3 linked regions of the Styela clava genome follow. The protein of the gene in region 2 interacts with the protein of the main gene of each other region in a biochemical or structural test. Links are inferred from orthologs where the notes say so. Each region holds a gene or a part of one and is shown on either strand. Other genes may lie near its edges. The genes, in order: programmed cell death protein 6-like, kelch-like protein 12 and protein transport protein Sec31A-like.

Region 1 (8,257 bases), on a different chromosome or scaffold from region 2:
AATGAGGAAACATTTATTAGCAATGAGCATTTACTGCAGGCACAATTTGCACAAGTATCTCAAATGCAATATGAAAAATCTGGATCAGGAACATTGGTAACAAGAATAAAGCATCAGCACTGCGTTTCTACTCATGAAAACTGCGCTAGCTGGGCTCATCACAATAATTGAATGAATAGAAAACAAGTGATCAACAATACACAACAAGATATGTAAGAATGCAAATATTAATTCAATTCCCAGATTACAATTTCCTTCCCAAGATTCAAATATCTAATATTACATCATAAAGCAGGATACAAATATGTATTGTGACTCAACATAACATTTTATCAAAGTCGGATAGGAAAATTCTTTGATCATAATTCTCTTGGTCAGTGCCAGGTATTTAATGCTCCACGCAATACAGAGCTCTAAATTTAATTTAAATACCAATTATTAACGAGTTATGTCACAAAAACTGGTTATTTCATCACATCAAAGCAAATGTATGTATCATTCAATAAAAAAATCAGAGCACTATTTTAGAAGAGCGCAATAATCTCTTCCATGAATATTTAGAATAAGAAGTATAAGATTTCAAATCGAGGGGAGAGAAAAGCCTATAAGACATATTGATAACTGGGGCCTCTCGTCCCATTCCAAGTCCATGTTGTGTACGTGAACATTATTATTACAACCAGTTATTCATTTCTGACACATGGTCTTTGATGTTTGTTCAAAGCAAGGCTACATGAACTCACTATGAAGTGAATATAAATACATAACATTGTACCGAATAAATTTGCAATAATTTAGACTTGGATGAATAAACATTCACATCAAAATGTTTCTCTAAAAATCTAACAATTCCACTGCATAATGAATTGAATGGAAATGTTAAAAACCAACTTTCATAAATGTTCTTTTTCAGATAAATAAAGTCCATGGCATGGTTTCTCAAACTAGGCCATCGACCCTAGGGGCCCAGAGAGTAGAACCGCTAATCAGATATCATTAGCAATACATTCATTTGAAGTAAATTGCCTGTGATGCAGTTCTTGTTTTTTTTATTATTATACATGGGTAACATGGTCAATGAAAACATGTTATTAAAAACCAAACTTGTTATTTTTGTGAGAGTTGGAAAAGTGTTGAAGACTTCAGAAGGGCATGAAAGTTTGAGAACCATGACAAATCGGAGTGAAATTTTATGAAAGTTTGAATTCTGTTCAATTTATTTCTAACCCCAACAAACAAGGTATTCAAAATAAGGGTCGCCAGGTTTCACCACATGGAAAAGGCGAATAATACGGCGTGAAACACCTGTCTGATTGTCTTGTTGAATAAACCTGCAGTATTGAATCAATGTCCTCAATATAATTATTCATCACAGAAATGAAAATAATATTTTCTCGAATTAAGAAGAACTAGGATTCCCAGAAATTGGACATTCGGTAAACTAATACAATAATAGGTGGATACATATCAATTAAAGGTTTTGAGTTATGACCTAACACTGAACACCATGGAGAGAAATTCTTCGTACGATACTTGAATCATCCCGTTTCTGCTGGTATCTTTAGCACTGAAGGACTTTGTTAAAGTTTGCAGAACGACGCAGCACTGGATGAAATCATCGAATGCAATCGTTCCTCGGCCCTGACGATCAAACTTTCTGACCAACAGGTCGTAGAATCTATCCGACAATCTGGAATGAAAATCAGAATTAGAAGCCTAAAATTTGGATGCCAAAACTTTTGTCTCATTTGTCTCAAGGGAATTTATAAAAAAACAACCCCGGCTTGACTTCAATTCAATCAAAGTCTGATTCCGACTCTCTAGTCCTGGGCCCAAATATTTACTGCGTTACATCTAATAACCATCTGCTCTTATCAGTGGTTCACAGGTTCGTCATCCTACCGTGAGACAATTCGAGTTATGATTCTGTCGCCTTAGGATTTGTTTGAAAATAATAATCTTGTATTTAACCTACATAATCACCACAGATATTTGCCATACCAAGCAATAACAAATGCCATACAAAACCAGATGTATTTCTTTATTATTATTTTCAAACAGCTGTCATGGAGACTGGAAGTCAAAATCATAAGTTAAACGATGCGGTGCTTTGTTTATATTTAGACGAGTTAACTGATTAGAAATATTAGTTTATTTTTTATAGGGGTTCGCAGACTGGCTGCACCACCCGGGTCTAGTATAGTTTAGTACCACAAGTACTTCCAGTGGGCGTAGCAAAACGTTTTTAGCATATGTTATTCCTAACCCTCACCTGACTATGCCAAACAAAAATTACGTCACTACGACGTCACCATCACGTCATAGGGATTGCCAAAGTATAATTACGATCGCCCGAAATGGCATCTGCGCCGCCGATAAGAACTTGCTAAAGCCGACAATCTCTCTCCTATCGTGATCGTTGCAACAAGAAAAATAGCTTGCTCGATTTCGGGTTATCGTCTGCGCGTTTTGTACGACCATCCGCATACTTCGGTGAGCCTTATTATGCCACTGTGACGTCGGAATGACATAATTTTTCGGTGACGTAGTCAGGTGGGGGTTAGGATTGACATATGCAAAAATTGTTGAGCCAGGCCAACTAAAAGTGGATGTGGTACTAAACTATACCAGACCCCACCACCCTACCCTCTGTTCCCGGCCAAACCAGTAATTTGCAATGAAACACTCAATCTCGACTTACCTGTATCCAAACGAAGTCAATGCAGTTTGTAATTCCCTTTTATCAATCGATCCAGAATTATCTCGATCGTAACTTTTAAACGTATTCTGCCAATCTGTGACGTATTTCCACAATCCTGCAAACTCTTGAAAATTAATTGAACCGCTGTGGTCAGTGTCGAACATTCCAATCATCAACCGAACTGTCTCGGGGTTGAATGGCTGCCAAGTTCCGTTAGACAAAGCTTCTTGAAGCTCTCTTGTCGAGATCTGACCGCTCCTATCTCGATCTACACGAGTGAAAATTCCCCATAAATCAACTCCAGGGATTTGTTGGTGAGGGGGAGGTTGGCCATAACCACCAGGTGCTTGGTAACCTTGCTGGGGGTGATAGTTCTGCTGCTGGTACCCTTGCTGCTGCTGATAACCTCCAGGCTGGTTATACTGGTAAGCCATTGTTTCTCTCAGTTCTGTAGCTTTTAAGACTAGATTGAGCTGAAAAACACAGAGGTAAAAAAGCGAGCTATTTGTTAATTTGGCAGATAATGAATAAGGCTGATCCACTTAATTCTGTAATTACAGACTGATAACTCATACCGGTAGTCTGTATTCAGCAAAATGCATAAATAACTGAATAACTGTAAACTTACAGACTTAGCTTTAAATAATTTCATAGCGCTAAACCCCCCAATATCAATCTGGCAACTACTTTACCGAGAAGAGGCACCCAACCCGAAAAGTCACGTGAGTAGATTTTGTGGTTCCGTGACAAATATTTTCGCGATTTGAAACAATTTTATGTGGCCCTTGTGACTCAGAATTTTTGCATCAAGCATAAAATCATAATCTGACAATTTGTGTTAAAAAAGGCGCTCACATGGTTAAAGTACATAATGTTCTTTGCTCTTGTCACTGCCTTAATTACTAACTTACGGTATTTCGTTATGCCCAGCGAGATGCCTGAAATTGGTTATAATATAGCCTTCCGGCAAAACTTTTTGCACACCCATGGACTGAATCTTCACCTTCGTCATTTATTGAGATAGGATTTACATATATATCCCGAGTAAGAGAAATTAAGAATTCTTGAATTCCCGCCTCCCTTATTGATTTTCCAGACTCTTCCCATATTATTTTCCCAGATTCCTACCACCTAGTGTATTCACCTACAGACTCCTTTCTCCCCATGTTCACACTTTCCTGATTATTTCCACCTCTTATGTTATTTCCCAGACTCCTCCCACCTCACGTACTCACTTTCAGTCCGGCAGATCATATATGATGAACATTTATTTACGGTCGCTGAATAATAATTAAGATATTGTGCCAGCAACATCACACATAAAATATTTGGGCATATAAATAGGAAGCTTGGCCCAGCAAATATATACTTAATATGGGAGGCATAATAGTCCTCGGTCACATCACTTGCAGGTTGTTGTCTGATTGTGAATTATCCAATCGAAAATTGCATCTAAACGTGTGTCAAATTCAACCCGAATCAAACTGATATAGAGGGTATTGGGACAAAAGTGCGAAAGTTTGAATTTAAAAATATCGAAGAAATATATGCTTTTAAACATCAATGTTTGGAGCAATATTCGCCAGATTATTCCAATAAAAAGTTTAGCAATCAAAAATATTTTTTCTTAGAAATTGTTTCGGGCTGGAATTCCAGATTGCCACAGCATTGCATATGAAAAGGAATGTGGTCAAAGGACAACAACTCTGGGGTTCTCAACCTTTATCCACCCCTTCTGCAAATCCAACGGTAATCTCAACCCTCCCGAAGTTTGTGTTTGGCGAGGAGGGCCATGGCAGAATTAATATCATTGTTGAATTGTTAGGGATTGATTAGTTTAGTAAGTTAGAGGCGAAACAAAACAAAAGCAAAGTTTTACAAAAAAAACAGACGGTCATCTCTGTGTTGAGACTCACGAGGCATTACAATCGCAACAATATTGAAATCTATACAAGTCATTTTGCTTTAAAATGAAAGCGATAGCTTATTCGTGTAACAGATATTGATTCTCGTTTTTACCCTGGTCAGGTTGAGGAGCCCTGCTATAATGCTTTAAAACGCATGTTTGGCTAAATATATAAATGACAAAAACAACAACGCCATAGAAGTGTTATTGCTTGCAGTGTGATCAGATAATTGATTGCGGCATGAGACAGGATACACAAGAGTTAAAACAGAACAGAATATTCTAGGGTAAGTTCCCCATAAAGGGCCTTTGACTCCCTAGAAGTGGTTCTTCATGAAAGAACTGTGAGTTGCCAGAATTATTCAAACATAAGTAGTACAGAGTCTTTTCATGAGGCGTTTTCCACTGTGAACTAGTCTCAGGTAAGTCAGTCACTGATGTGTGAGAATTATCGCGACTATTCCGTTTACTCCAACAGACGATTTGGGAAGTGAAAGATTTTATAAGAAAATCTCTTTCATGAAAAAATTTGGTTCTGAGAAACAAATCTACAGGTTGCCACTATGAAAGATTAATTTTCAAGCAATGCTTTGACAAGTCTTTCAACAAAAACATATTATTAGTAAACACAGTTCAATGGGAAAGCTATCGAAGCAAAACTAGGTAATTTGAAAGAAAACGGGGGCCATGGAGTGTTTAGACTCTTTGTAAGGAGGTCAATGAGAACAACTGGAGTTGAGACTTTCTAAAACACTCAACCATATCTATTCTTGCAATGATAAAGGTAGTTAGTTAGGGTACACGCTACTCTAACAAATAAAATATTGATACATATTAATACAGGATAGCATTTACATATTAACCAGAGGGAGAGGAAATTCTTATACAGTAAATAGTCCATGTCGAGTATGGGATTAGTTATTCAGTTATTTGTTACAGATACATGGGCTTGATGGTGGAGGAAGCCGTAATAAAAATTTTGAGTAATCAGTCCTAATTAGGATCAATATATATTTCAAGTAATCAGTCCTAATTAGGATTTTGGGAAAATTCGATTCTCCTAGCAAAATCAAAGCTGCCCACAACAAACACACAAAACAAAATCAATTGTTAATAAAACATGATAAAATGGCATAATCACACAAAGTTATTTCATTATATGGAACAATTACATTATTACTAGATAAATCTTAAACGTAGGCTTCAGCCATGTTTAAAACATCAAAATTTTTCTAACAATTGCACCTCAAGAACAAAGAATTATGTTCAAATGAAAATAAGAGAACTATATAGCATTCAGCCGTTCAGCGGCCGCATTTAAAATTTTTGTAAATATTCTTTCCACTTTTAGTTGGAGGCTGAGCTCCTTGCTTCGGAAAAACTAGTATTAAAAAGCCATAGTGCTAACCACATCTAAGAAGGCTAACAACTTTCAGTTTGAAAAAACTGGTAATGAAAAATGCTCATTCCTATAGTTTTCACATCTTGAAGTGAATGCTTTCGGATTGATGTGCACCCCCACAAAAAATAATAATTATAATAAAATTACAGAAAAAAATGATTAATAGACATTATGACAAGAAATGTTAATAATATAGATTCATATGATTTGGTCAATAATGTGGGGTTACTATAGGTCAATGATGGGTTCAATAAAGTTCATGGCATTCCCAAATGCCCAGTCAGGTAGGGGCCATAGGAACAGCAAGATGTAGCAGCAGATCCGAACGTAGAGTTCGAGGTATTACACATGCTTTTCATTCTTGTGTATAACAATATCTATAATTTTCTCATCCCCAGAATTGTATTTGAAGTTATGCATAAGGGACATCAGTCACTATGAGAAACTCACCCTGGGCAGAAGAAAAGTTTGGCTAGCTACTCACTGGTGATTAAAATTAATGAGAATAAGCAATTAAGGAGTAGGAAATGGGTAGGTAACCATTATTAAGAACATATATGCTCTTTCCCTGGGAGATAAGCGGACCTGACAGCCATGGGTTACGCTGTTCCAAACCTGTGACCTGATTTGACCCTAAATCAGGGTTCACTTGAAGACAGTTTCTGGGTGTTAGGTTACTATAGTTCATTGTAACAGGTACATGATCTTATAATGCGAGGCAAAAACATGGGTAACTAAAGTTCATAATCTCAAATGGAATTTCATAAAATCTAGAGCGGCTCATGACTTTATGAGGTCACATTGGGCCAAATTTTCAGGTCACCATCGGTCATGACTGGGTTAAAGGGCCTTTCTTGATTTTGTCTAATTCAGCTATGACTTCCACAAATGAAATTCTGGTGTCGGGGTTGATGTCCCAACATTTCTTCATGAGACAATAAATTTCCTCCGGGCACCGGTCCGGCTTGTCCATGCGATATCCATCCATGACTTTGCTCAAAACATCCTTGAGAGGCTGAAATTAGAAATTGAATAAGTAAATAAAGCAATACGGTTCGGATAGAGTGGGGCAAATGGTACTCCTAAAAAGGCCCAATGTCCTGAATAGGAAATAAATCAATGTGTTCAATCCAAGTGATAATCCTAAGAAATCTATTTATTTTCAAATTAACTGCTTGAATTGAGTGGAGTGCTTGCCAGCGAAGAGATGAAAATTGAATGAACTGAAAAAATTCATGGATTATTTCAAACCTTTCTTTTTATTTCTATTGCAACGAATCAGTCTTTCACTGCAGGATTTGTATACGTTCATAATACTCACCACTCTGGGATACGGAACTCTCCCAAACGACCAGATCTCCCACAGCATGACACCGTAGCTCCACACGTCTGATTTATTTGAAAATTTCTGAAACAAAGCATGAATGTATAAATCTGATCAGTCAAACAAGAAACCATCCATCTCATTTTTCCACTCAAAATTTGTCCCAATTTTTTGTTCGGCATCTACCGGGTTTCCTAAACTAGGCTGCCAGCCCCCTAGCGGCCCACAGGAGATTCTTTGGTGATCACAAGAAAAGTCCTTCAACTAGGTACCATTTGCTGAGACTCCATTAATTTGAAGTAGACTGACTGATTTATTTAATTCTTTAATTGTAACGCATTTGTTTTTCAATTCTTGACTTTTTAATAAGGAACATGAGAAATTAAATGGAAATTTCTCTAAGAAACAAAACAAGGTCTTTATACGAAAAAGCAGAGCCACCAGCGAGTCTTTGCAAAGAAATCATGAAAATTTGAGTACCACTGCGTCCTGCCTGCTACCTCAGGATCAGCAGTGTGGTGCATCATGCTAGCCATTAGGAATATGCTTGGCACCGTACCTCTGATTACCCTGTACATGTTCGCATCCCATGCAGAGATAATTATGTGCGAAAAGATTGCTGGATTCTTCGCCACCGTAGCTCATGCTTCCTCCACCATAAAGTCCATGCATCTGAAACGAATACCTGGCCAACTAGCCCCATATCTACCATGGACTGGTAACGGAACGAGAAGCGTTGGTACGCCTTATGAGTGAACCGTCTTATCAACCTTCCTCTCTCTAGAATAAATATGTAAATCATATCCTTCCTTTCTTCAGGTTACAAATAAAATCCTAACTCTGGCTGTAATTTCTACTCACTGATTGCTTGAGGGCCTCAGGTGCAGTCCATTTCACAGGAAACTTTCCTCCTTGTAAATTCGC
Region 2 (8,448 bases):
GAGACTTGAAAGTAAAAAGGAAGGAAAATATACAAACAAATAAAAAAAAATGAATAAATTCTTTTGCCACACCAAATTAATAATTTTATCAGGATTGCCAAATTGGATACCGAATTAGTCAACAAGAGTTAATGTATTGTGGATAGAAAAGTATTCCTCAAAAGATATCGTCAAGCTGATTATAATTGGAGTCACCTAATGCCAAATTGCCCAATCAGAATTGCCAAGTTGGATGTATGAAAAGGTGGGCTAGACCTGCTTCACTCATCAAATAGAAGCCACAACAAGCCAAATAACGTCCAAATTATTTTAAATACTATTAATCAATAACAGTACCGGTAATCATAATTAAAATTAATTAGGGCGGTATGATACAGAGGTAGGAAAATTGGTTAAGGGAATATATATGACTAGGCTAAAATTCATTACCGGTACTTTTATAAAACAAATTGTTGAATGGTATGAATTAGAATAATAGTTTGATACAAAAAACCCATTTTACAGGCAACAACTCGCGAAACCACTTTTAGAATAAGCACCGAAAATTTTGAAATGGTAAAGTACAGGAAGAATTTTCCGGGGTCAAAGGTCGGGGAAAGATCCATTCGGTGAAGCTGACATCGGTTTCTTGGCTACCAGTACCGGGCGAGTTAGATTTGACAATGAGGCAACATTGGACAAGTTCGGGCTTCTGTAGGGGTAAAAGCCCGCTATTGAATGCAGCTATGAAGTAACATATCAGATTCCTACCCACTACTTAGCAATAAAGGTTCTTCACTGCTAATTCCGTCTGCCGCGACTTGACTGTGCGAATCTGCTTTTGATCTTGTTACCATCCAATCAAAATCTAGAAACCGTCCTGATGTTGACAGTGACATTCGTCTGGCTGTATCAAAGACGGTCCCAAGCGCAAGATTCTCATTGATTATACTAGGTTTGCTTCTGCATTCAATAAAAGATCGGAAAAACATAATACAATCCAACACGTTTAATTTTAGAGGGGCTCACGAAAGGTTGGGAACCACTGTCCTAGACTTTGAGGCTTGTACACATCACTGTCGATTCTATTGCACAAATGAAATGATAAAGTCAACTTGGCATAAGTATGATGCTGTCGTTGTCTAAACCTGTCTATGATTTGATGAAGGAGAAAAAAATATGGTTTTCTGAATAAGAAAATGAACTCCGTTTTCAAAAATGTATGTAGCATTGTTTCAGACTTAACCAAATGAATCACCTATAAGTTAAAATATAAAAACGAAAATAAACTCTATTGCAGAATTAAGTTTTTCATAAATCTGGTACAAGTTGAGTAATTTTTTTGAACGAATTTCATGAAAAATTGTTAAGGTAACAGAAGATGATAGCTCAAGTCTTTTCTTTTATAACAGTAATGCCTGCATCACATCTATGTGTACTCATGTGTGTAACAACTTTCCAGTCATCCTTTTCTGGATCATATTGTTCAATTGAATTCAAAAGGTAATGTCCATCATAGCCAGCTACTGCATGGAGCTTACCTCTGAGCACACATGCATTAACATAACATCGAGGCACTGTCATTTGCTGTACTTCTGTCCAACAGTCTGTATGAACATTATAAGCCTCCACAGTGTCCAAATGAAAGTTTCCATTAAAACCACCCAGTACATATATAACATGATTTAGGTATGCAACACCTGCACCAGAACGTTTTGTATTCATCCGTGAAACCATTATCCATTTACCAACTTTCGGATCATACAACTCAACAGAACTGAGTATATCAACACCATCATATCCGCCTACACAATAGATGCAATCTCTTGCAGTTACCAATCCTGCACCTTCCCTTGCACAAGCCATATCTGGCAGCATTGTCCATTCATCTATACGTGGATCATATCTTTCTGCGCAAGAATGCCGGGAAGAGCCATCAAAACCACCAGCTACATAAATCAAGTTTCCTAAAACTGTAGCACCAGCCAGTCCACGTTTCATGTGCATAGGGGCAACTGAATACCATATTCCATCATCATCAGAAGAGTATTCAAGACATTCGACAGTATTAAGTCGTAAATGTGAATCATATCCTCCAATTACGTAAATCCTATTGTCAATAGTTACTGCAGAAACATATCGCCTACGCTTTGTGAATGAAGCAATTGTACCCCATTCCCCAGTTTTTGGATTGTATTTTTCAACAGTCGGAATCGGTGCTTGTTGACTTCCAAAACCTCCAAGAACGATTAAAACTTCAGAAGTGCCATATCTTGGCTGATTTGCTATACCTTGCATCTCAGCCCGGAGTTCCGGACGCAAATGAAACTTTTTCGCAGCATCAAGTAAATCTCGACATCGCAAGTTTGATTTTATCAATTCCTGTTCATCAAGTACATCTGTTATGAACTGCGCAGACAATAATGGTAATCTTACATATTCGAGCATATTTGATAACTTGGGGCCTCTTTCTTCTCTATTATGTGTTATCCAGTACATTAACGCTTCATATACATCTTCTTCTGAGTCGATTTCAAGTTCTGATGATTCAAGCAATTCAATAACGTCTGATTCATTCAATTCTAAAAATTCTTCATTTTCTATAACTTCCTTAAAATGCTTTAAAGTGAACTCCTCGGCACACTTGGCAAGATCTAAACATTGATGTGTACTCGCGAAAGATTTTATACTCAAACAATTAACAGGATCCAGTTGTGATTTCAAAAATGCGCAACATGCTTGTTCCACACCTTTTAACTGTAAAAGACAAGCTGCAGGAAGAAGGTCTTGAACATTATTTGTTGTGACTTTTACTGATTCAGTGTATACAAAATTCAATAAAATGATAACTGTGTTACTTGACATCCCTTTAATTTCAACAACGGATTGGTCCTTTTCTCTCATCCCAGTTGTAAACATAGCTCGAAAATAAGAAGATGATGCAGCTAGAACAACTCGATGAGCTGGCAGTTCAACATCTTGACACTTTATTGTGACATCACAAAGAACATTTTCAGATCGTAATTCGTTCATGGAATCAAGAATATTGTTGGCATGTCCACTAACCAACACCACCCTTTCAGTTGTATCTGACGCTGGTAAAACATCTTCATTGTCACTGCTGGACATTTTTAGAATTGAAATAATAAATTAATAATATTGCCTGGCAGGATAAAATAAAAAAGTTGTGAAAATTTTGTTACCAAAGATATTTTGAGAAGATTACATTATGCAATCCCTTAAGCAATCAATTAGGTCTTTAAATTCTAACGCACATGATGTTGAATTAAATAAGGATTAAGCAGATGTTGTTGTCAATGTTTAATGACGATAAAATATTGTGAAATCAACTACAACAAATTTCGACTATTTATATGCATGCACTAGAAAACTAATTGTTCGCCATATGGAATTAACACTAGCAACGACAGTATCTTAAATAGAAAAGAAAACTGAAAGAATTGCTGAGGAATCTGATCCAGAGTAGAGCGTTCTGCCAACATGTATTTCAAGTACTAGTAACAAATTATCACGAAAAATCTTGCGGAGACAAAATAATTGTGAAATTGATCTAAACTCAGCATGGTCATTAGATTCGTTGACCAATATTTCTATTGATACCATTCTTCAATGAGAAGCAGCACAAAGAATGCTATTTCAACAGAGTATTACATTTTGGTATGGTACCAAGTATTGACCAACTGAATCCTGGAATCTGTGGGTAAACAACATCGATCATTTCACATCTTTAGTAGCCATTCTAGTAACAACAGCTTCAACAGTTACTTCTTCATTTTGTTCGAGACGATAAATTTTCTTTATTCTCTCTACATCAATAATTTTTTCCAAGTTTTCCAAACCAACAATTTCACCATTTACAGATTCTGGAATTACTTTGGAATTCAAGTCATCCTTCAAAACTACTGCAATTATCTTCTTTGTCATTTCATTGATACCAAATGTCTTCAAACTTTCATTAATTTTATTTGTGGGTGATAAATTAAACAATATTTCCGAATATAGAGACTTTGTTTTCATACGTCCTAATTTCTGATAATACAACGCTTTATTGACTGCTGTCAATATATGAAATGAATCTAATATCAAAGAACCATCAATTAAACATCCTTGTAAAATTCCTTCAGTTGTTAATTCTTTTAGTTCCTTTGCGTTTGTGACATTTTGAAACAGTGAAATTTGAACACTTTGGTCAGGAAATAATGGCTTAAGATTAAAAGTCTGCATTTCACTGTGATTCGGAAATTACAAGTTAACAATCAAATATTCAAAAAACTGAAATGTTCTGAATATGGTCAGATAGTCAAAACACTAAAATCTTGAAATCTATATATTTACTGTAAGAAAATTTCACAAAGGATAAAATGCCTCCTCCAGTCCTTCCGGTACCTAAGGTGTTAGCAATTTTTATGTGCCACTAGACACACAGACACAGAAACTCCAATGAAAACAGTAGGCCACCAAGGGAAGCGGACAACTCGACTACACGGACAACTCACCAGAGACAACTCGACTACAGATGGGTCTGGTGGGTTGTCCGTCTTTCCGCCTTTTCTACGGCGACGTTTTAAGCCTATAACAATGTAATTTCGATATTTTTAGGGCTCCAATGTTGAGAAAAATACATTAATATTCTCAAGAAATAATTTTTATGTGTATAAATGATTTTGCTCAAGTTATATGAATACAGATACAGTCTACAGACGAAACTGGAGTACGGTGTCATTTTTTTGTGCATTTGATGTTTTTGTGACGACGAATAAATGATTGATTGATTGGTAACGGTACCAATAGCAAAGTTATACTGTTGACTTATAGGACTGTGTGCGTTTTAATTTTTGAAAGTTATTGATATTGAATGTTTTGAGTACGTACTTTTGAATATATTAAAACCTTCATACGTAGCAGGAAACAGTAACACATATATATTCATGAATGTGAGTTTCGTAGTCTATGATCACTTTAGTTTAGTGGTCACCCGTAGTCTAAACTCGACCGTATACCGGTATGGTCGTATCGTTATCAACCAGTCACATACCGAAAACTGCATAATGTGTTTTTTATTATTATTTGTTGTTGTATCATCATGTTTCCTAGTTTGACGAAAAAAAAAATATTTTCTCTCTCTCTCTCTCGCATTCGCTCGACTGATTCAACAGTTGAGCAAGCGCTCTGCGAAGTTATGCTGTCGATGCTCGAGAGGAAGACAACTCGACTACAGAGAGTTATCTGTGGATTCCCTTCTTCGTAGGACTTTTAAAACGTAGCCGTAGAAAATGCGAAAAGACCTTTGGACCTTTCCCCGACCTTTGACCTTTATTGTTATGATTTTGGTCGCTCAGACCAATGACATTAACCCTTTCCATGCGATTTTTATTTTTTATTAAATAATCGTATTTGCTACGCCGACTTTATGCATTTGTACCCCCACAACTAATCGATCGACTAACGAAAAAGTAATGATCCTCTGCTGCCCACTGACGGCTCGTTGGAAAGCTTATTTAAAGAGCTTGCAATTGGCGATTGAAAAATTTTTTTTTTTTTCAGAAGGGGTGGTCTGAGTCACAAACAGGATAGAAAAAAGACATTTTTTTTCTTGGGTGTTGAAACTTCAAGCCGTGATAAAAAATAGAAATATTCGCTAAATCCTTTACTGTTACCGCTTCTTGGTTGGCAAACAATAGCATAATATTACTGTAGCAATTTCGTTATCTAACTCAAAATACTTTGGTAGATGGAAGGGATAATATGTCTTCTATTACCACCCAAAAAACACCGAAATTTGCATAAATCAAAAACACTCCCTCGTTCCGCCGCAAATAAAACTCCCATGGTAAACGAAAGCGAGATTTACCGTCGCTTATGTTAATCTCGAAGAAGGCTTCTTATCAATAAACTAAAACCCGGAAAAACTAGACCAACAGTTTGCGACCGATTGCTAAATAAAACAGTGGAGTACATCAACGTACCCGCCGCAAACTAGCGAGTTTTGTCGTGGGTACGTATACGTGCCCACCGCACGGAAAGGGTTAAACAACATGATAGGCAACTCTGACGTCACTCCATAAGACTACAGGCAAAACATTGTATTTCATGATACGCTCCAATGCACATATTTCTCGTCGCCTTTCGCGTCCGTTTTCCATTTCGCATATAATTCTCACTGATTGTTGGCTGTTTATAATTCCTATTGATTGTGAATTCTGATTATAACAATGAGTTGAAAATTTTTTTACCTAATTTACTGGCACCTTTTTCTTGTCAATACTCCAAGCTGAGGTAATAAACATGACAATACATTTATGTCATCTGGAAGCAAAATATGCACACTAATTAATAGTTTGGCACATTGAGATAATACATCATGACAGAAAATACAAGTTAAAGATATGTATGACCATCACATGGTAATTAAAATTAAAAAAAATTAATAGGGGCTGTGGAGTATGGAAAGTTCAAGACAAAGAAAAGAACAAATGTTCATAGCTCATGAACTCTCAATTTTGCCTCCATTGCTTTGTGAAGGCCAATATATTTCAAGTGGCTGAATTGGTTTACCTTTATGATAGCAACGATTTTGTATTTAATATAGCGAGATTATTTCAATTTAATTGAAGTGATATAATTTCCCAAAGCAATGCTTGAATCGTCTAGAATAGATCAGTGGTGTCAAACTCATGGGTTTTCGAGAGCCGCATTGCATTTTGAAAATTGTAAAAAGAGCCGCAAACAGTTTTTGATAATGTATACTTAAAAGATATTTTTAAGATAGTTTTAGTTTGTGACATATATTGTGATGCAACTAAACAGTTGGATTAAGTTTTATTATTTTCTTCAATTTCAAATGCAATTACATATTAATATTTGCATTCCACTATTATTGCAACATTTGCAAGTTACAGTATTTATTATAAAAAATCGTAAAATTCTATGTAAAACCATCAAAATCATTTTTGAACAAGCTTTGAATAAGGAAAGAATAATACATACACTAAAAATAACTTAATCTAAATATATGAACCTAAAATTAACAAAATACTACAGTATAAACTCAATGTTTTAATAATTACATTTGTCCTGGCGTTTGGCATCTTTTTTTGTGTCACCAGCATACTAAGGTCAGTCTGAAATGATTTTATAGTACCAACTCTAACTAACGAGGCCACATGATCATGGGTTTATCTGGATCTTTACGAATGTTTAATTAATTCCAGTAATGCAAAAAAGTTATTTTTATCATTTCATGTATAGATCAGTAAAAAAACAAATGACAGATTTTTTCGACAAGACATTTCGCACTACATTGCGTGGCATAGGATTGCTCGAATTATTATTGATATTGATTTTTAGTAACTAAGTCGTTGTATAATTATATTAATATACAAACACATGGAAATTTTCTGTTCGAAGTTGGTCTTCGAATTTGTCATATTGACTGCTGAGCTTATTGTGTTTTTTGATTGTATTGACGGAAATATGACAAATTAAACAATGTGCTTCAGAATTTTGTGAAGAGCAGAAATGTTACAACTCCCATTTTCTTCGAAAATGCCACCTTCTTCATGTACTTTGCGTTTAATTTAATTACTCAAGTGTTTTATTCAAGTATTCTTTTGCTAGCTTGATGTGTATTCTTAATTGGGTCAAAATGTGGACAAAAAAATTAATATTCCAAAACTACTTTCAGTAAATTGTTTTCTGTGTGAATAATCAATTTCACTTTAGAAGGTTTGAAAAATCTATTACATTTAGATAAAAAAAAAAACTTTAAAAATACTATTACAATTATTGTTAAGCGTTCGAGGGCCGCACTGGAAGTTCTCTGGCCGCGAGTTTGAGATCCCTGGTCTAGATTGAAGTTGTTCAAAAAATATATGATAGTATTTTATCATGAATGATGATTATACCCCTTCCGGAATTTCTTCTATAGTACTACCAAAAGTTGATGAACCAAATATAACACAGGTGCAGTGAGGTACCCGTAATCCTCATTTCCAAAGCTGTTTTAAGTATGTCTGGCGTGTTTTGTGCCTTTTTACAAATAAGACCGCTTATGCATTCTTACGCTTTGGAATTTTTAGTTATTTTCCTCAAGCCCTGCAGGATGTGGGGGCCATACACAACTCTACCGGAGGGTCAAATGGGTTTGCATGCCTCCATAGGTTGTTTTTCTATTGCAATTTTCTATTTTCAATTGCATTATATTTCTTGGAATCACACTGTCACTGATATGTCGCCAGACTTCTGATATCTCCCCGTCTGCTATAGTTGTCCTGTGAATAAATAATAGGAAATTGAGATTAGACGAATAGTTGAAAGTTTTGCTTTATGTCGGCTTAATTTCTTGATTGATATACTTACTATTTCTGCTATTGCCTCTTGTGCTGCAAGAGTCTCACAATGCTTAGACAGGTTTGTCCACAACTTTCACATCTGAAGAAAGAGAGGAGA
Region 3 (8,226 bases), on a different chromosome or scaffold from region 2:
ATATTACTTATTTATTTGATAGTGGTACATTCTCTAATTACTGAAAATAGAAGTTTTTCAAGATTTCCAGATACCGAATCTTAGGGCCTTCCGAAAGGCCCTCTTCAAGAAAAATTTTGAAAGGGTCTACCATCCATCACATTGTTTGTGTTAGGATTACTTTTTGTTGTTTTTTTTGGTATTAGGTATTTGTGTTCTGGGTTTTCAGAGAAAAATATGTACCTAACTGAATATAGTTAAACAATAATCCCTCTTATAAAACTGATCGTTTGAAATTTCTGATGAAAAATTTATAATTTACAAAAAAAATTGTATTTACGCTTTTTTCTGTTAGCAAATTTAGTTTTTTAGTGCAACAACATGATACAAGAAATTCATAAACATGAAAAAAATTAGATCACAAAGGTATTTTTATCTGAGAAATGAGGGTTTTAAAAAATTGATTTTTTTCAAATTTTTCAAAAAATTAAAATTTTTATTAAAAATAAATAGGTCAGTGATAAAAAACTAAAATGTTTTATAGAAATTCTAACCCATGATTGTGTTCATGAGTAACTGGCAATTTATTAATACCATAACAGGGTTGTCCAAAACGAATCGAATATTCGAATGTATTCGAATATCAAAGTATTCGAATACCTTTTCGGCTGATTTTCGAATAATTCCGAATAGTAGCCACTTTTCGCCGTAAACGTGGTGTTTCGTTTTACGGGAATCTTCAAACGACTTTTTACACTGTCTCACGTATTGTAATGACGATGAAATACAATCGGCACTTTGTTTGTTTATATTCTGTGCGACCGTACGTCGCATAGTGTTGCGACACATTTGCACATTTGAGGAAGTATGTTAATTTTATTTCTATGTGGCCCGCTTATTATTATATCAATCATGATATTTAATCGCAGGTCGGTTATGGTTACTTTAAAAAGAAACACGGCCACCGAGATAAAGTGATTTGTGACCCTTTCGTTTTGCCGATTCAGCAGAACACGACAGGGACAGGAAAACACAGCTGCGAAATAACCCGTGCACGTACAGTGTAGTACTTATCACATTCCAAAATTATTTCAACATTCGGGTTAATAGGTTGTCCAAAATGATTGCTGCTTTACAACTTAAATTTACCGCTCAATTGTTAAAAATAGTTAATTCTGTGAGTATGATTCTACCAAACTAACATGATCTGGTTCTAAACATATAAAATTATTAGAGCGTATCAGCATTCAGCATAACTGAACGACAGGGACACAATTTTTCTACCCGTATTATTGGAGGCCTATATGAAAACCCCCTTTTTGAGTGCTAAAAATAGACATCGTCCTATTTGCCATGTGGACTTATTAGCCGGGAAATACGGTATTTATAGCCGGCAAATAATTTTGATAACGATAGTTAAAAGTATCGATCCTTTACCAGGATGATTTTTTGTTGCGCAAAATAATCCAATCCATGACTAGTACCAGCATTTAAAATGTCATGCCGTATTAATTTAATTTTGTTCAACGTAACTCATGGTTGTATCGACAATCTGTAGACATAAATTGTGTGGCAAACTCGCGATTAATATTAATTTTTGATTCCTATTTTCGTATCTACAAAATACAACGGCGATCTGTGGACTTACAATGTGTGGTAAACTACCCGATTATAAATAGTTTTTGATTCCTATTTTCATATTTATAAAATAATAACAGTATTATTACTCAAACAATCAAACATACAACGGCGATCTGCGGACTTAAAATGTGTGGTAAAGTTCCCGAATATAATTAATTTTTGATTCGTATTTTTGTACTCACGAAAAAATTGTCACGAGTGGAAAAATAACTCATACTTTATCCCGCTTTTTGGCAAATAATTTGGACAATGGTTGGTATTTAAAAGTATGGGCGTTTTACTAGGATGATTTTGTGTTGCGCAAATATTCAAATCCATCATCGATACCACTATTGCCGTATTAATTTAATTCTGTTAACATGATTCATGGTATATATATATATATAAAATATATACTGCAATAATCTGCAAATATGAAATGCCTGGTAATATATATAGCTAGGTTGTAACTTGTAGATAGTAGTTATTCCATTGCTTATTGTATGGAAATTCCTACATACATTTAGATAAGCTTCAATTAGTGGATTTTATTTTCGAAGTATTCGAAATTTCATATTCGAAAAAATTAATTTCGAATGTATTCGAAATAGTGAACTATTCGGTATTGGCCATCCCTGACCATAAGGCATAAGCTAAAGAAAATTCAAAATCGAATTACACAATATCAGGTTTTAAAACTATTTGATTGAAAGGGCCGCCCGGAAGGCCAAAAGACCTTCCGGAAGGCCTTTTGTCGAATTATCATTAAAAAGGTTTAGCGAACTTATGCCTTTTGAGTTTATTTGAAAAATTCTTCTTTTACCCCCATCAAAAGTCTGAAATCCCAGACTCCAATGGAATCGAATTTTTTACTCACAACTTCATAGCCCTGATGAAATATATTGTTTAATACCAAAATAACTGGCAAGGCTCACAGAAGTTACCTTATTACCAAGAAAACAACATTAGAAACTTTTCGCCTAAAATAGTACTGTTCTGTTAAGTAGATTATTTATTATAAGGAGCAGCAATTGAAAAAAATGAACCTGAAATGGATTGAAGTCCAAAGCTTTGACTGGTCCTGTATGCTTGTTGTTGGTATTTACCAATGCAGCCTCACTATCAGTATTATCTATCAATTTGGTTGGATCATAAATATTGATAAGTCCGTTATCAGCACCACAAACGATGAGACCTTTGCTCTCGCCAGTTGATGATTCATACCCAGTGTTTCCCCATATCACTTTATAGAATCTTAAAACAGTAATGAGAATATCAGTCAGAGACCGAAGACTTATCGATCGAAAGTTAGGGGTTCCCCCAAAACAGCGCTCTTACTCCATAGTGACACCGTGTGTCCCATCCCTAATTAATTAATAACTCGCTAATTATATGACATAATTCATCGAAAATCAATAGGCTTCTGATCCGAGCTATGATGAATGCACATGCAAAATTTGGAGCAGATTCCACCTCGCTTTCGTAAGATATCGCGAACATCTAACAGACAAACAAACAAACAGACAAATACCTATCAACATACTCACCGATCTTAAGATCGATAAGTAATAATAAAATTGTAATATTGTACATCAGGTAAAACCGATTGCAACAAATTAGCGTAATTGTCAACATTCTGGACCAACGATTACCCAATAAGAAGCATACTTAACAAGAAACACATCTAATGCAAAAAATAACGTTAGTTATAAAGTTAGAATCCCATAGGCAATATTGAAATAAAACTAACGGTAAGTTAAATTATAACTGTTAAATGATGTGAAGACAAATGTAAAATATAAACGAACCTGGTGGGGATGTCAACTTGTCCAGCAAGCTTTAATTCCTTAGAAGAATCTGCCAAATCTACTGAATACAGAGACAAATTCGCAGACGTACTGAATGTTGCATCAAGCTGTTGAGCAGCAGTGGCAGTTGCGAGCTGTATTGGGTGCAATTCTGCTGGACTCCATGCATAATTTGCTGTTACATTTACTTGCTTCACTTTCACCATTTTCGATATTTTCTATCCCGAAGCAAAATCTATACAGACAGGGTATTTATGCTGTGTTGTGTGGATAGGCCACAGTTGATTTTAATAGGATATTGTAATCCTGCAACTAACAAGTATACCATTATAAAAATTGGACATTAAATATATTTTAGTACTACACTGAGTTGGTCAATAAAAGCTCTATATCAGTACAAATTGACAAGCCTGCACTGCGTAATAAACTAAAAGAAATTGCAATTAAAAAACGTCACTATTGGATTCTTTGAAAAAAATGATCCAATTTATTAAAGAAAAAAAAGTCACCGCAGCATTTAAGTTATTAGCAAAAAAACGCAATTTTGATTACATGACAGATTGACAGCGATTGACTTGAATGATTACTGAGACAATCATGGTGCAATCTGATGCATACATCCTTGTTTCAGAGACAAATAGAGTGTGTTTCATTGAATAAAATGTCGAAACATCTTGGAATCAGGGAACTGTGTCCTACTGTCTATACAACTTAATTAACGTAGTTGAATAGCTCTCACAGATGATGCCCTTTTTTTCAAATCGTATCAAAAGTAACCCTTCATGTAATTAAACACATTTATCTGCTATGGGGAGTCAAAATTCGCCACAAAGTGAAGATAAAACTTCGAAAAATTAATAATCATATATACGCAATTGAGACCACTTTGCAGTAAGAAATAATAGACTAAATAATTATGTTCTCATCTCAATAGCAGACAACAAATGTTATTTACATTCCACTGGCTCCCAATGTTAAAATTGCAACAAGGCAGATGATAGACAGAGAGAGACCTCTTTATCAATGGATAGATATTTAAAATTTAACTTTTTCGTGATTCATTTTACTATTTTAATACTATACTATATGTAAATTTGACATAAATTATAGTGTTGTCTAAAAATTGGCACATACATCTTTCAACAATTACCATATTGGATTGTGAGTATGAATTCTTCCAATGAAGCAAATATCAAATATACGTAGTTAATATAGTCCCCAATAGTTAAAATGTTGAAAATTGTGATACATAAATATTATATCATGACTCCATAGTGACACCGCGTATCCCATCACTAATTAATTAATAACTCGCTAATTATACGACATAATTCATCTAAAATCAATAGGCTTCTGGTCCGAGATATGATGAATGCACAAATTTGGAGCAGATTCAACCTCGCCTTCGTGAGATATCGAGTGCATCTAACAGACAAATACCTATCAACATACTTACCGATCTGAAGATCGATAAGTAATAAAGAACTCAGTTAATCAACTTAATTGATCACAAAATGCTGATAGATTCAGATACTTTATTCCAGTCGTGCATGAAATATTGTACCAACATAAGTAATAAAAAAAATGATAACAATAATATCAATTGAAACAAGGATACAATATTTCCGCAATTGACGCGGGCGTGAAAGAATACCAAAATCATTGTGTCCATGACATCGCGTTTAATTAGCAAAGATGAAAGAAGACACCGGTGTTAGATGGACCTTTCACAGTTTAATATCAGTACAAAGTCGATAATTTTTAAACATAATACTGTAATATGAATTTATAGTCATGCCATTTTTCCATTATAAAATTAGTTTTGTCTTATATCCATTAGGCCTATATCTGCACCGCCCCGGTACCGGTATATCAGCATATCTATAAACATTTACGGATCTTCTCAACTTTTGAGATGGCTACAACCAAGGGAGGGCTGGAAGGAGTGAAGAACTTTTTTTGAGATAATATAATATGACAAAAAATACATACTGCAGTACTGACATACCGTAAGCCTGTAAAAACAAGCATGCGAACAATCACAAAGCAAATCACCGTAACATACGTTATTCATTTCTCGTATGTTTGTATGTCCAAATACGTTATCCGTTTGTCATATGTCCATTCCATCACTTTAAAAAAGAAAACTGTAAGTACCTCATCCCCCATTGCCGTATTACGCTCTGCAATACCGATATAATAAAACAAAACACTGGCACTTTTCGTGGCAGCCTTGTTTCAAGCGAACTCGTGGACACGTCAGTAACATGAACGTAAATACACGACTCTGTAGCGCCCACATGCGCATTTGATTTTTTATGTATAACATTGTGACATCATCAATTTGACGAGTTTATGTTTATGTCGACACAAAGGGTTCTTTATGACGTCTTTTCTCGTGAGCCTTCGTCGCTGCTTGCCGTTTCCCAAACCAAGGTGACGGGGCTTCATCGCCCTATTGAACTAAAAGCAATAATGGCTGAAGAAGATGGCGGCAAGAAGCCTATTCCAACGAAACATAAAATCGACGCATATGGAAGCTTTATTCTCGTGAGTCAATTTGGCGTTCTTGTGTGCTTTTGGAACAATGGAACAAATTTATATTAAAATATTCCCAAAATAAAGTATAACGTTTCATGGGTCTCTTATACGGAGCCATCTGAGATTTCTGTAACGTTTGTATTAGTTATGTCCTCAAATTATTACATATGTACCGTGTTTCCCCAAAATAAGACTGGGTCTTATTTCAATTTTTATGTTCGAAAAACAACACTAGGGTTTATTTTCCGGGGATGTGTTATTTTCATTTATCAAAAATTATAAAGTAGGGAATTACGAGATTTTCAAACATACAAAATATGAGAAGCGATATCCATGGCACGTTTTTAGTCAAAATAACTGCAAAACATAGATTATGGATAATTTAAAATGTGTAGGAGAGAGGTCTTATTTTAAAATCTTTTTTAAAATTCTAGCTCGGTCTTATTTTCAGGGTAGGTCTTATTTTCGGGGAAACACGGTAATACAAGAAGAAATAAAAGGATATAGAGGTGACCCGGTAGGTATTCATTATTCAACTGATTTATTATTGTATTCTTTCAGTTGATCCATATCTACGTCCTTGTACTGGTGTTGGCAACATTGTCGACGTTTCAACTTCAAGTTGTAGTTCCTCACGAAATGTTACTTCAGGGACCCATCACCCTGGATATCTCCGATCCGGATCGAATAGAGAAACCATTGATATGCAACCCTCATTACCCCTTGTTTCGAGAAAGCTATATTACAGACGAGATGAAGAGCTTCGAGTCGGTTAGAACATCTTACTATATACTAAAAATTGGTTTTCTTATTGGTTTCAGAAATGATTTTTTTTACAATAGGCCTGAATATGACATCATACTCACGCACTGTGACTGGGCATTCTAAGTAGTCATGTAGACTAGATGATTTTTATGTAGTGGCTGACAACATCAAGGATCTTCTTTGGTTTGCATCAGCAGAAATTATTCCAGTTCTACATTACAATCCGAGTCATAAACAATTAGTTACCCATATAGGACATGGCCAACCTCAGCATACACTTCAGTTAGTAGAATCACCAAAATATTTCTTATAAATCAGGTAAAATCTAGTGAGTTCATCGATCGAACTGATATCCAGGAGTTATTGAAGGCTACAGATGAAGCGACCAATTCTGCAGTGTCCTTCTTTGGAATTAAGAACACCGAAATTTGTGAAATTATTCGTCCAGCAAACAGAACTGGTAATTGCATGTCATTTGCAAAGGTAAGTAAGTAGGCTATTATTTGAAGCTCGATTGATTGAATATGGTGTAACAATATAGTTATATTTCAGATCGAGAAGGAATGTTTGGAAGGAGACTGCGGGGAGGATCCCAATGTATGCTTCTGGAGTTCGACTAAAACCATGCAATTGATGGCCACGCTCCACCTCATAACGTTCATACCTGCAGTGTTAATGGTAAACTAGTAATAAATATTGAAAAACGCTTTGTATATGTTGAGTACATGTTCTGATTAAATGTTTGCAACAAGATAAGCATTCTGAATCGTCATACTGATTTTTGGTCAATAGTTTTGAAAGCTCAGATCGTTTTTTTCTTGTCTATCAAAACCAAATACATATACAAATGGCATATTAATTTTTTACAAATATGCTAATAACCCAGGTGTAATCGTCTCGATTGATTCGAAAGAAAATTATTGTGATAATATAAAAATTTACTTTACATTTAAAAGTATGGGTACTCGTGGACAGAAAGGATAATTCAAAGCGATACATTCGTACACTGTCAGATTATTTATATTTCAGACAATGGGAATGATGTATGATCCTCCTCCAGCTGGATGCAGATTAATTTTGAAACCCATCATCGCAGCTGTGCTGTATTGCCTGACAGGTATTTTGATGAAACTTTATTTCCTGGTTGTACAGACGTGAACAGAATGCAAAATTTTATATATATACAGGCCTCTGACAACAAATGCCATTATCGGACAAGTGGTCGACTATTCTAACATATATATAGCTCTCACGCCTTGGGATTGTTAACCATACAGTTATGTCTAGCGCCACAATTTCATATGAGGGAACAAATATTATAGCAAGTTTCAAACTAATAAGAGCTTCCAGTAATTGAATAGTAGCTGTGTAAACTTTACGGCCAAGTTTAGTTAGTGCGAACGGAAATATATTAATGGGAATCAATATTACAGGCGTCTTTGCAGTACTCGGATTTCTCATGTCCATGGTTGGAAAATCAAAATACGCTCCAGCTATAATGAGTGAAACTTAC

Evidence for each region.
Region 1: the proteins of kelch-like protein 12 (region 2) and programmed cell death protein 6-like form a complex in vitro, tested with the Homo sapiens proteins (2 studies listed by BioGRID). The link is inferred for Styela clava from reciprocal best matches to the Homo sapiens genes KLHL12 and PDCD6.
Region 3: of the proteins of kelch-like protein 12 (region 2) and protein transport protein Sec31A-like, one has a biochemical effect on the other in vitro, tested with the Homo sapiens proteins (3 studies listed by BioGRID, with this or other methods). The link is inferred for Styela clava from reciprocal best matches to the Homo sapiens genes KLHL12 and SEC31A.

Annotation. Positions count from the first base shown.
Region 1 is NC_135264.1:18,523,129-18,531,385, reverse strand, and holds programmed cell death protein 6-like, read right to left. Parts: upstream 3,255-8,257; 5' UTR 3,136-3,254; coding exon 2,702-3,135; intron 1,691-2,701; coding exon 1,486-1,690; 3' UTR 1,069-1,485; downstream 1-1,068. Other genes in the region: tyrosine-protein kinase CSK-like, read right to left, coding at 6,839-7,024, 7,331-7,417, 8,195-8,257. UniProt on the Homo sapiens protein: Calcium sensor that plays a key role in processes such as endoplasmic reticulum (ER)-Golgi vesicular transport, endosomal biogenesis or membrane repair.
Region 2 is NC_135254.1:16,143,844-16,152,291, reverse strand, and holds kelch-like protein 12, read right to left. Parts: upstream 3,118-8,448; 5' UTR 3,109-3,117; coding exon 1,369-3,108; 3' UTR 983-1,368; downstream 1-982. Other genes in the region: EKC/KEOPS complex subunit TPRKB-like, read right to left, coding at 3,715-4,224. UniProt on the Homo sapiens protein: Substrate-specific adapter of a BCR (BTB-CUL3-RBX1) E3 ubiquitin ligase complex that acts as a negative regulator of Wnt signaling pathway and ER-Golgi transport.
Region 3 is NC_135260.1:9,045,291-9,053,516, forward strand, and holds the start of protein transport protein Sec31A-like, read right to left. Parts: upstream 3,751-8,226; 5' UTR 3,614-3,750; coding exon 3,408-3,613; intron 2,854-3,407; coding exon 2,646-2,853; intron 1-2,645. Other genes in the region: uncharacterized protein LOC120347212, read left to right, coding at 5,883-5,957, 6,510-6,719, 7,032-7,196, 7,266-7,391, 7,743-7,830, 8,147-8,226. UniProt on the Homo sapiens protein: Component of the coat protein complex II (COPII) which promotes the formation of transport vesicles from the endoplasmic reticulum (ER).